Caenorhabditis elegans: one gene and its partner. The protein of the gene in region 2 purifies or fractionates together with the protein of the main gene of each other region. This does not show direct contact. Each region holds a gene or a part of one and is shown on either strand. Other genes may lie near its edges.

Evidence for each region.
Region 1: the proteins of Y16B4A.2 (region 2) and R09H10.5 fractionate together in Caenorhabditis elegans (co-fractionation; one large-scale study listed by BioGRID). This does not show direct contact.

The regions. Positions count from the first base shown.
Region 1 is NC_003282.8:10,625,136-10,631,769, forward strand, and holds the start of R09H10.5 (EGF-like domain-containing protein), read right to left. Parts: upstream 3,695-6,634; 5' UTR 3,680-3,694; coding exon 3,628-3,679; intron 3,313-3,627; coding exon 3,194-3,312; intron 3,144-3,193; coding exon 3,091-3,143; intron 2,624-3,090; coding exon 2,490-2,623; intron 2,300-2,489; coding exon 2,155-2,299; intron 2,109-2,154; coding exon 2,032-2,108; intron 1,978-2,031; coding exon 1,786-1,977; intron 1,743-1,785; coding exon 1,610-1,742; intron 1,539-1,609; coding exon 1,400-1,538; intron 1,359-1,399; coding exon 1,227-1,358; intron 1,180-1,226; coding exon 1,032-1,179; intron 986-1,031; coding exon 921-985; intron 870-920; coding exon 455-869; intron 410-454; coding exon 203-409; intron 152-202; coding exon 1-151. Other genes in the region: F56C4.4 (Activin_recp domain-containing protein), read right to left, coding at 4,342-4,470, 5,742-5,905, 6,013-6,106.
Region 2 is NC_003284.9:14,768,557-14,775,190, reverse strand, and holds the start of Y16B4A.2 (Carboxypeptidase), read left to right. Parts: upstream 1-3,339; 5' UTR 3,340-3,366; coding exon 3,367-3,495; intron 3,496-3,629; coding exon 3,630-3,700; intron 3,701-3,780; coding exon 3,781-4,204; intron 4,205-4,341; coding exon 4,342-4,433; intron 4,434-4,479; coding exon 4,480-4,605; intron 4,606-5,014; coding exon 5,015-5,096; intron 5,097-5,143; coding exon 5,144-5,292; intron 5,293-5,338; coding exon 5,339-5,633; intron 5,634-5,839; coding exon 5,840-6,016; intron 6,017-6,118; coding exon 6,119-6,373; intron 6,374-6,424; coding exon 6,425-6,634. Other genes in the region: Transcription factor unc-3, read right to left, coding at 1,515-1,600.

The DNA of each region.
Region 1 (6,634 bases), on a different chromosome or scaffold from region 2:
AAATCATTAGACTGTCCTTGATTGAGCATTGCACGGAGACCATCATTAAGCCGCACAAGAGCTTGATTAGCAGATAAAGAGTTTTGAACAACAACAGCAAATGACCGATTGTAAGATTGGAAGGTGTCGGGGGATGTGGTGCTGCATGTCACTAAAAAAGTGAAGGTATGAATCTGATTTCAGAGAAGACTGAAAAACTTACAAATTTCACAGAAACTTCCAGAAACACCAAATGGACAAATGCAGTTTCCATGACCACCACCGTTGGGGAACTTGTCAGGTGATCCTCCATTCACACATTTTGGAACTTCACAGTGAAGTCCACCCCAGTTGGCTGTGCATGAGCAAGTGCTTATTCCGGAGCGGGTTCCGTTGTTGAGACATGACCACGGAGCGGCCATGTGGGAATCTAAAAATGTCGTATTTGATCGGAAAAATGAAATAGACTACATACCTGGCGTGAAGCAATATCCTGGAACTGCACGGTACTTGTTTCCATCGGAAGCAGACACAACCACATTATGAACATATGGACCTGGAGTACACGAAGTAGCATTTGCGATTTGGTACTGGAAGATGCATGATGTTGCTTTTGCTGTCGCTGTAACAGCAGCAGAAATCACACCGGAAGTGACAGAATTAGCGGTTGAAACTGAGAGACTTGTAGTTGTAGCAAACGAAGAATATAGAGATGGCCGTTGATAATATCCATTGAATGTGTGAGCATAATTGTTATCAACAGTATCATCTTCAGAGTATGACACAAGAACATCGTCCATTGAAGTGAACCACACACGAGTATTATGAAGTGGAATTGTGTCTCCTGTGATGGTAACTGATGTGGTTGAACTTTGGAATACACGATAAACCTGAAAACCTATTTTTATTATGTGATAGGTGATAGTTTAACTCAGGCTCACAGCAAATCTTCGTCCAGAGGATGTGGGCTTCAATGTGTTACCATTGGTGTCTTGAATATTTGGAACTGAAAAAAAAAACATCAATTTTGCAGATTCCATTTTTTGACTAACGTGATTCTCCATTCTCAACTGTCATCATAATATATGTTGTTTGTGTTGGTGTATCCGACTGCACTGGAATATTTTTGGCAACATTATTGTAGTATTGCACATATGTATTCTGTCCACCAATTGTGTAGAAAAGAAGATGAGTGAGAACCTGAGAATTGAGTAACTTTGATCTAGAGTTATAAGAAATGATCTCACTTCGACAATTTCCGTTTTATCAATCATCAAAATGTCTCCATGAGCAGCCGTAGCGACTCTGCGGAGCACATCGAAGTGGTTTCCAGTTGGCTCAATTGGGCTTGATGTCGTTTGGGAGAGAACAAAGATAATCTGAAATGGAAAAAGTATACGAGTTTGTAGCTTTAAATGACCTTATTTCTCCAGGCAAGAGTCTGCTGGATGACCATGCTTTCATTTGTGCTACTGAGAAGCGTTGAGGGAGTTGGATCCAATAAGTTCTCAGAATCAGCAAAAACATAAACAGTTGATTTTGGTCTCATTGTTGGCTGGCTGAAAACATTTATTTTATATCATTTAAGTTGATTGAAGATCTCCAGTTATTGAAAATATCTAAAACCCACGTGGATTGAGAGTTAGCAATAGCGTCAAGAAGAGGTTGATCATCAGATGATGGAGCAATGGTCACACTGTGAAGGTAATCAATCATAGCATCGGATGTTGTGAAGGCACTCGTTTCCATGAAGTATACGGATTCTGAGATTTGAAGTTTTCAACCAAAACTATGTTTAAAACTAACTTGTATATCTGTAGACGGTGACGATGAAGCTCGAAAGAATGACTCCTTGACTTTGGTAATCCGTCACCAATGTTGGAATATTTTCAATGATCATGCTCAAATCGTATGCCATCGATGTTCTAGTGTTGATAGCAATAATGAGTGACTGAGACGAGAAGTCAACGACGGAGTCAATCTTGGTGACACAAGTTCCTGAAAACTTTGATTTTCAGAAATTGATTTTTTAAATTGATTTTGAAAGCATACTTGCTTCACAATGAGCAGAATACAATCCAGGAGGACATGAACATCTTCCACTTGATCCAATACCATTGTTGCGGCAACTGAAAATAAAATTTATATTTAAAACATTCAAATATAAAAACATACGTCACCACTTCACAGTTAGCTCCAGAATAGTATGGTAAGCAAGAACAGGTAGCATTTGGCAATAAAATACCTCCATGCAAGCAATTGCTCACGTCAGCACGAACTACTCTGAATCTCGAAACACTGTCCCCTTGTACTTCAAATTCTGAAATTGATGTTAGGTGTTAATAATAAGTGTACTGCACATTCTGACGCAACACAAAATTTACGACCTTGCGCTTTGAAGAATACATATTTTACAGTTTCCACCACCAAGTGTAGATAAAATTAACATTGATGAAAGGCGGAATTTGATTAATGAACAAACGGGGCACAATGATAGAGTTCAACCATACCATTTTTTCGCAAGAAATATATTTGCACGTCGTCCGTCGCCACGATTTGGTCAATGATGTCTTGTCGGGAAACTGTTAGAGATGAGACAAGTGTTAGACGAGCATGGAAGACTGCGGTGTCTTGACCGTGAATTCTGGATTTATGAATGATTTTTTGAAATTTTTTGATCGGTAGAGGGAAATGAGTTGCTTGTTTTTAAATTATAACTGTGGAAACATTATCTTATTATTGTGTGTGTATAGAAATGTGTGAAAAATGGACCAAAATGTAAATAAAGAAATTTTCAATGTATCAGATTTATTTTAATATTTTAAATTTTCTCAATAAAATGTTATATTTGAACAAAATATTGCAAAAACTAAATTTGTTTCAGTTTATAAACTACTTCAAGTTAATTAATAAAACAACTTCTTCGAAATTTTCTGTATTTTTCATATTTGTATTTGAATAAAGATATATGAAATGGTGAAATTAAAAATAAAAAAGTTCCAGTTCCAAAAGATGCTATAGAATCAAAAGAAATTGTAAATTTCTTCAACTAAACTTTTCAGCAATTCCCTCATTCAGAATACATCTTCTTTAAATATTTCCAGTACTCACTTGTAATCATGAACAAAAAACTCTTTGAAATCTGGTCCAACAACTTGTGAAAACTGAAAATAATTTTTTGAAAAATAAATTCGTGTAATGCACCGTCACTCACCCGTTCCGAAACTTTGTTCAACTTTTCCGTGAATGATTTTTCATTGTAATAGTCCGGATGGATATCGTAACTGTTGATGAGATCAATGTTACCACGAATTTCATATTGAACACCAGCGGCTGTAAATGGTGATCAAATTTTTTTGAAAACCAATAAATAAGTTTCTGCGTTTTGAAATTTGAAATTCAGACAAACTTTGTCTATGAAAAATTAATTTGTTTGGAATACTTGGATAAAAATTACAGTTATTATAACTCTTTATTTATTTATTTTTATAATTCACTTTCTACATTGGAACCGATTCAACATAAATTTAATTTTTTTTTAAATCAGAACCAAATTTGAACAAGGAGCTGTCAAATGGGGAAACGAAAATTCAACGTTAATAAGAAAAATACGGTATTTTTTAAACTGAAAAACATTAAAAAAATTACCCAATCCTATAATAACCAGTAGCAATCCAATGGCCTTTGTAGCAGGCGCCATTTTGGTTTGGTCTCTGACGACCGAACTGAAGTCAAAATCGGCAACTCGATGGCATGCATCGCTTATCGGAAACTGCAGTTTTTATTAGCCTGTACTCGCCCATTAGCTTATCAATGAATTTATTCATTTTGAAACTTTTATTGGTTATTTGGGTCCTCAAAAATATAAAGTACAATCATAAATTAAATGGGGCGCTATCGAATGTGTATTCAATTCTTATTATTAAATTTTTTTGGAGAAATAAAACGAAAGTTGGATATTTGAAAAATGCATTATTGATTACATTGCATTTTGATTTACGGATTGCCAAAGATCCGGATTCCGGAATTTTTGATTTTCAGTCAATCTGTATGTATTTTTCTCTGCCTTCATTTTTTTTGTCAGAAAACCACCTCACGAATGATAAAAATTGGAATTATTGTTATTTCTTGTAGCAATTATCATCTTTTTTTTTGAATCTTGAAATTTTTGATTCTACTTGAAATTTTAACAGTAAGTAAATGAAAAGTAGTAATCGGAAACACAGGAAAATCTTGATATTAATATTGATATTTGCCATTGCAGTCCTGAAGTTTGCCCCTTTGAGAATTAGTCACAGCCATACTAATAGAAGAAATACGGTTTTCGAACTTTGTTTTCAACTTAAAAAACGCTCATTGAATTTAATGTTCAATTTTTTGTTTCCCTGCACTTGAATCTTTCTTGGTCCTTTTCTCAATTCCAACATCGTTACACATGTTTTCCGAACAGCATCTCGTTGTCACTCCGATGTTTGTGGAAACTCGATCACCCTGAAAAATAAAAATAATCTTATTTCTCTACTGAACTTTAGTCAATTAATTTAACATGGTTCAAAAAATTCATAAGGAAACAGTTTTGTTTTCTGTATTATACAAGCTCAAAGTTCGGCGAATATGTAATTTTTTTTTTGCAAAATAGATAAATCCTTTGATCTTACAGATCAGAAATGGAGATTGTTCAGAAGATAACAAATATTTAAAAAACTGTAAAAGTAGAAGCAAAATCAATTCATTTGAATTTTGTTCAAGAACCCCCTTTTATTGAGTTTAAATCTAGTTTGACACGTGTAGCCTCAGTGCGTAACCTACTTGTGATCTGTGCTCAAAGACTCTAATAGCCAATCCCCTTTACTACTTTGCCTAATCTACCAGTATTGAAAAATGCGTCACATAAGTCTTTTGAAACCCTATCAAAAGTTCTTACAACTTTCGGAAGTGGTAATTTTAATGAAGTCAGCTGGAAATGATGAAAGTTTTGCTGGAAATAGATTTGATAAGGCTGCCCCGAGTACCTGGCACGTTAAATCAAACAAAATGCACTAATAGAAGGTTGCACGCAATAATTGTTTTGCGAATTATTTCATAATTATTCAATGGAACACAAACAAGCTTTCTTCGTGGTGTATGTGCACGTGAATATCACGGTGGTCTAGAAAATATTTTTTCTGATCAGATTACAAATTATATGCTTGAAAAAGTGTTTTCACATGTTACTGGAAAATTTATATCACCAGGATTGTTATTCAAATATCCTAAAACAATTTTTTAACAAAGTAGAGTGTAGCTCGTAAATTTAATTTTGCTATTTTGCTAAAAAAAATAAGTAAATGAAAATTCTGCAAAGATACAAAGAAAATGTGCATAAATCAGAAAATCCTGTTACTCTGAACCTTTTCATGCAGACTCTGCAAACAAAACGTACTTCGTTAGGTGCAAAATAAGGTTCAGAATTGTAATAATAGTTTGGATTATTAGAATAGGTAAAGGCGTTGCAAAGCCAGTGGGAAAATTGATCAAACTAGTCAAATGACTATAGAAAATCACGTTTTTATATTAAAACTTCTTGAATTTTGTTTAAAATCGCACGCAAGGTTGGTGATCACTTCATAAATTAATCTCACTTGGATCCAAATTTGAAAATTCCAAAGCTTATGTTTAGCAAAATGCGATAAAACTTATTTCAGTGGGTTTCATTACGGTCGCTTTGACAGTTTTAAACTATTTTCAATGGTTTTAGTTAAAATCTAAGGGCCTTTGAATACCTCGCACAAATTCAGGATTCTTCTGCTTGTACTCAACGTCTGACAACTCGCGGTGACCGTATCAAAATCTTCACTATAAGATTCCACACAGTACTTCATTCCATCATCACAAGTCTCATTGAAAAAGTTTTGAATATGTTTTCCGTTGATGTATCCTCTGCTACCTGCCAATTAATATCTTATCAAAAGGTGTATGGGTGCTTCTTGTTTCGTGTCTTCTTATCACAGACCATATATCATGAAAAAGGAAAACGTGGAACTCATAACTTACCAGCATAACAGTTAATTGCCAATGAAAATGTCAAAAAGGTGGGGAAAAAGAATAAGAAAAAATAAATTTTGAGAGTTTTTTGAAAAATCATCATGATTGATTATCAATAAATTTGGGCGAGAAAGTGAAAGTGGTGATGTGATTGTTTATAATATCGATCAAAACTATCATATTTCATTATTTAAAAAAAACATTAGATAGAAGAAAAGACGCAGTGAAAACGTGGTAATTTGTATTATGACCCAATACAATTTTTTCAGATAAGATGATAAGTTCCGGCGGCAATTGTAGTATACTGTTCTTTTGCCATAAATCATCACTTTTCTTGTTTGATTTTTGAATTGAAACCTGAAACTGAAAAAAATGGGTGCGGCTATCTGTAAATTATACACGCTCTTGCCCTAAAGTGGAGTTTAAGCGCATTGTGAAACAAGTGGCAAAGGTTTGGAAAAGCAGAAAAACCCGGTATTGTATTGGTGTGGGTAAAGAACGTTTACAGTTAAAATTTAATTGCAAATTTAAATTCAAATTGGAGATTTTGTAAAACTAAATCAATTAGTAGAGTGAAAGTATTTAATAACTCCTTGAATACGGCTACACTTATATTTTAAACTAAATTGCG
Region 2 (6,634 bases):
GAGATGGCCTCTCTCTGTCCACTTGTTTCCAGTTATCAGTTTGTAGCCATCTACGCAATTTGTAACATCTCAATAGCCCAAATCTCATCATTCACCATGTACGGGATTCTAGATTCGGAAGGAATTGAGAAATTTATGTAAAAACAAAATGCTCAAATCCAAGCAGAAAAATGAAAGAAATATGGATTACAAAAACGTTTGGGAACAACAAGATGATGTACTTTTTGAATTATTTCTAAAAGTTCATCTTCAACATCAGCACCTGAATCATAACAACGTATGACGCTATAGAAATGACGTTATACTTACTAAGTTAATTGTTAATTTAAGTGTTTCAAACATAATTCTAGACTTACTAAACTCATCGCCAATAAAGCTCAAGAATGTATCGCAAGCCATGAACACCTTACAATTTCCCCTTTGGGAATGAAATCCCGCTAACGTCATCAAAAAAAAAGGAGTTGGGTCTCTTCTATTTCAAAAGTGTCGTCCTAGAAGTTCTATCTTACCTTTGAAGGTCCGCAAAGACACCAGAATTGCTGAAAAGCAAGGATTCCAAGGTTTGAGTATTCATCAGATAATAATATTAACGCTCACCAAGCAATACTAATAAGAGTGGCTGTTATGGACAAAAAAGAAGGATGATAGTGGCTATCAATTCCGAGGGTGGGTTGTTAGGCAACGAGCCCGAGTACGGCTAATTGAAGCAAAGTCAAAAGAGAATATACAACTGTTGAGTTTGAGGATAGACGGAAAATATTATGAGCGAAGAGATATTTAGCTTGTGATAGCTAGTATACAGCTATTGTCATAGATTCGTTAGAATGACTAAAACTTTAGCCAATAGTGCATTGAGAATGAGGAGGCTTTCAAACATAATAATGAGGTATGAATCACCTTAAAGATACACATTTTGGTATTCAGGAATATGGTATCAAAATGTTTTTAGAAAATAGACAGGTTTAGAAAAGATGCTTACAAGGTGTATTTTTGTGATTTAGGGGGCTCATTCCTAGTTAAGAAATAGTTGTATATCTATGTAGTTGTATATTATAATTTCCAGATTATTTAACCCATTGAATGATATGTTTAGTATGAAGTATGCTTGGAAATAATATTAACCTAAGCTCAAAAATTGAACAAATTTCTTTGTAATGGTTATTAATGAATAACCTAGATATGATGGCATATAATACACAAACACCTAATCCTACAGGGTGGTCCATAATTATGGACTTGTTTTTGAAATTGTGTACCAAACGTAATAAATTTGAATTAACTTCTAGTAGAACCTCTTCGACTTTTACTAAGACAAATTTAATTAAGGAGTTACGTCTGAACGGTATCAAACCCAAAAATAAATAAATTTTATTTTAACAACTTCCAGTATTCCGGAGCCTCAGATCAGTACAGCTCCCATACCAGATTCTCTTTATTTATTTATTAAGATTCTGCTCAATTTTCCAGCATCAAGTTTTTCAAGGCAGCCTAAAAAGCCATGTAAAACAACTTACGGTTGAATGTGAAGATTTAATACAGGATTATAAGGTTCATCATAGAAGTTCATCTGGCCAGCTCTTAGCGGAGCTGTCAAACTCATGCCACAGTTTTCGGATCAAGTGGGAGGCAACAACACCAGCTACACAACCGACTCTGCAAAAGATTAATCTCTTATATGTCACAAGCGGTTTGGGTCCGACGGCCTCCCGTCCAAGTACGCCTGATAGATGCAACAAGGAGAGGAATAACGGAGCGAGTGTGAGGATTGAGCCAGCTGACTGTGAATTATGGTTATGGAGATATGCCTGATTAGCCGGAAGGCACGGCGCGAAACTTTGAAAATCTCTACAGCAAAAAAATGGGGGGGCAGCTGGGGGAAGATTGTTCGCACCCCTTTCACGTTCAAGCCTGGTGTGGTGGCTCACCAAAAATATTACAGAAAATAGTTGTATGACACACAGAAAAGTCAAGTGAAGGATTTCATCAATCATCCTAGAAAGCATAGCATACCACGCCTTGGTCCTCTTTTGTGCATACTTCTTCACAATCTTCAACAATTGAGACGTGAGAGGTCAGACAGACAACACTGAAGAAGGCAACACAAAAAAAACGGAAGAAGCACAAAAAAATAAAGAGATGGGAGAGGATGAGAGGATAGCGAAGAAAATTGATGGAGATTCGTGTGTCCTATTGCAGATTACGGTATCTGGAATCAAGAATGTAGAGTGTTTGGCTATTTGTGACCATCTTCTTTTAGGAACAAGCCAGGAGCCAGCATTTGAAGTCGTGCAAGTGAAGTGTAATATTGCTCATAGTTATCAACTTGGCGAAGTTATCACAATTGCTTTGATAAAACATTTATATACACAGAATATTGTTCTCAAGTCGGTATTTTTCTTTTCACTAAAGCAACGATGTTTCAGATCTACCGTAGTTGCTAAGATGTTTCCAGGTGTGAGTGAGTGCGCAAAGTTCGTTTTCAGGGATGCTGGAATTATCAAAAATATTTATCATGGTGTTGAATTGAAGCTGAAATATTATTATATAAGTTGTGTTATATTGGGTTTTATTTTATTTGTAGTTTCGGAACGCGAGGTCTTGTAGCCACTTGAATGCATAAGGTTTTTCTGCAATTAAAGTAGGTATTCAGTTGTGTTGTTCCAACTTCAAAAAAAAGTTGCACTGTTGTAAACTGGACCCCATAATTATGAACCACCCCGTTTGTATAAAGAATATTGTTTATGCACGTGGTGCCAGGCTGTCCCATCACGGTTTGATCTACAAAAAATGCGGGAATTTTTCTCCCAAAAAAAAATGTGACGTCAGCACATTTTTAACCATGAGAAATCAGTTGAGAACTCTGCGTCTCTTCTCCCGCATTTTTTGTAGATCTACGCAGATCAAACCGAAATAAGACACTCTGACACCACGTGTTTGTACAGTTTTCCAGTATTTGCAGTTTGTAATACAAATATTAAATACAATAACATAGCTTTAGATTTGTTGCATTCATTTGAAATTTTTTCTGATAATGGTGGGGAAATTAATTCTTCCCTTTTAAAAATGCTTGACAGAAATATTTTAATACACAGCTTCAATCGGCAGACTAAACTTAAAGAGCAGGTTTACGACAGCGTTGTTTTTTTTTTCTCGTCCTTCTATTTTTCGACATCGGAACGTCTTGTACCATCCAGCACTTATTTCACAATGTCAACTCACTTTACATATCAACGCTCACGAAACAAAATTTTACGACTGAAACGCTGAAACGACTGAACTGTGTGCTTGTAAAATTTCCTTTCATTATTCTATAAAAGCGATGCTCGGGCACTGATAGTGATTGCCATCATCATTTGTGCAATACGAATGGCGGCGCATCAAATTTTACTCCTTTGTTTGTTACTACTATTAGCGCCGTTGCGGAATGGACAAACCACGCCGACCACGAGAGCCCAGGCCGATTTGGTTAATCAACTGCCAGGGACTATTTTTCAGGTAATAATACATTTTATATTTTTGTTTTTTGAAAATATGTATGCAGAATTATTTTATTCCAAATTTCTGTGTTTTTAGGTAAAATTTAAACAACTAAAAAAGTTCGCAGGTTGATTAAACACATTACCTTTTAGGTGAACTTCAAACAGTATGCGGGTTACCTCAACTCTGATCCCAACAAAAACTACAACAATCTTCACTATTGGTAAGTTCAAGATATTAATCTAAACATTTTATTATCTGGATACTGAACCTTGACTACCAAACAAAATAAAACAATTTCAGGTTAATCGAATCTCAACTGACCCCTTCCAATGATACGCTCCTTCTTTGGATTAATGGAGGTCCGGGATGTAGTTCAGTTTTCGGGCAGATCCAGGAAATCGGCCCATTCCATGTGTCTAGTGATAGTCAGACGGTGTATGAAAATGTGTTTGCTTGGAACAAGGTGTCCAATTTGCTTGCCATCGACGGTCCGGGCGCCGGCTTCTCATGGCAACAAAATCTCTTTCAAGACGACAGCTACGTAACTGGTGCTCTTCTTAACGCTCTCATGGATTTCTATACGGTGTATCCAAATATGCTAAACTCTGATCTCTACATTGCTGGTGAAGGATACGGATCTTTCTTTGCTTCGTCGTTGGTAGAATCTCTGATGGTGAATAACACTCCAAGACCGGACATTGTTACCTCTCCAGTTAATATTCGAGTGAGTTATCTACAAAAGTTGTTGCAACACTATCAGATACATTAAAACAAATTTTATGAGTTTCTATTTATTCTTATCATAGTTCAATTCTGAAGTTTGCTGGGAAATTTTAAAAATGAAATTTTTGAAAAATTCAGGGACTTCTTCTTGCAAATGGTGACTTGAGTGCTCGCCTCCAATACAACAGTCTCATCCCATTCTACTACACTCATGGATTTGCCGGATCAAAGTTGGACCTATTTTTCTATCATTTATCATTTTGAATTTATTTTCAGACAATATGACGATCTCAAATCAGTTTGTTGCACAAATGCTTCCACCCAAACTTGCGATTTTTTCAACAGTAACACAGCATGCAGAACCAAAGCTGACAACGCAATTGCCACTTGGTCAAATTATCAGTACGTGGTTTTTGATCGTTTTTAATTTGGAATGCACACTTGATTTTATCACTTGTGAAATTGGGAATGGAAAGTCATCAAAATGAGGGGAAAGTGCTATGGTCACAAAATATTAGAGAACAAAGACCAGATTGCAACAACGCAACAATTTAAAATTTTAGAGCCAATAAGATAGTACTTACAAGAAGGGGGTGTTCTGAAATCAATGTAAATTAAATTCATTTTAGCCTTTAGTTTGATATTATCGATTTACTTGATCACACAGCTACAACTAGAAATGAACTTTTGATTTTTAGAAATGAACTTTTGATACAATTGATTCTATAAATTTACTGACCATCTATTTGAACACATGTTCAAGCTTTTAGTCATTTCCATACTTGAACATTCTGTATCAATTTGGTTTCAGAATTGACAACACAAACATCAACGAAGACTGCTACAGAAACCAAGCTGCATGGCAAACATCCTTCAAACAACTTGGAATTAATGTATTGAACATAACGCTTAACGCTTGACATTAGGAAGTAACTTTCAGGCAGCTGTAGATAACTACAACTCAACGGACTCATTCAGAGGATATCCATGCTTTGCACTTTCAGCCACCGCCGCTTATTTAAACAGACAAGATGTTCAAGCTGCACTTCATGTTAGTGTGAATGCAAGTACAAACTTCCAGACTTGCAGGTGAGCAGTTTGCATACTATGTAGTACTTAACAATAATATGATCAGAAATCTGACATACGGAGAACTCTCAACGGATTTGCAAATCCGAATTTCCTCAATTCTAACATCCGAGAAGTATGCTCAAAATAACATGAAAATCATGATCTACAATGGAGATCTGGATCTCTGGAGCAACTTTATTGGTGCTCAAAGATTTGGACAAGAAATTGCGGCAGCTCTCAAGTTGAACACAACCGAGGATCGCATTTGGAGACATAACTATGATTCGGCAGCATTTGTGTGGATGGATGGTGGAGTTATTACTAGTTACTCGAGCAATTTTCATATCGCATCCATTAGAGTAAGTTTATAGTTTCAGCAAATTCGAGAATTACATAATACAACTTTCAAGAATATCTAGTTGAAATTTTCGAACTTTTGATAAATTGATACAAGATTCTTTATCGATATCATATCGTATACTTCTATGATACTTTTTCAATACCTTTAAAGTTTTTCAAAAATTTTCCTTATTGCGTCAGCGAATGCAATTTCCCATTATTACAGGGTGGCGGTCACTTCGCACCACAAAACCGTCCGTCACAATCGCTACAACTATATCGCGACTTCGTCTTAGGACTGTTTTTCAACAATTGCCTCAGCCGAGTTAACAAAGTCGCCGCGCCATTGCTGCCCGCTTATCAACAACTTGCCGCGCCAGCTACTCGTCGTGATGCTGATAAGGTGAGTGTAGCTTTTGGCAAAAAGAATCACACTTTGAATGTAGTGTGCTCATGATCTATTTTGGAATTTGGCCTATTGATCTCTAATTTCTTTTTTTTTCAGATTGTGAATCTACCAGGACTCACATACCAAATCAATTTCAATCAATACTCGGGATACTTGAACGCTTCAGACACCCACCGTTTCCACTATTGGTTCGTAGAATCTCAGAATGACCCCACCAACAGCCCAGTGCTGCTCTGGTTGAATGGTGGACCTGGAAGTTCTTCCCTATGGGGAATGCTCACAGAAAACGGACCATTCCGTCCGAATAAAGACGGGCAAACATTGTATGAGAATGTTCACTCCTGGAATAAAGTACGATAATTTAAAAAAAAAGGACAAAGCAGAGACATGATTTAATTTCAGTTTGCCAATGTTCTCTACCTCGAGAGTCCACACCAAGTAGGATACTCATACTCAACGGTTGCTAACGATTACACTTATGGAGATGACTTGACTGCTTCGGACAACTATAACGCTCTCAAAGACTTTTTCAACAACATCTTCCCACAATACAAGCAAAATCCATTTTACATCACCGGAGAGTCATATGGTGGAGTATACATTCCAACCCTG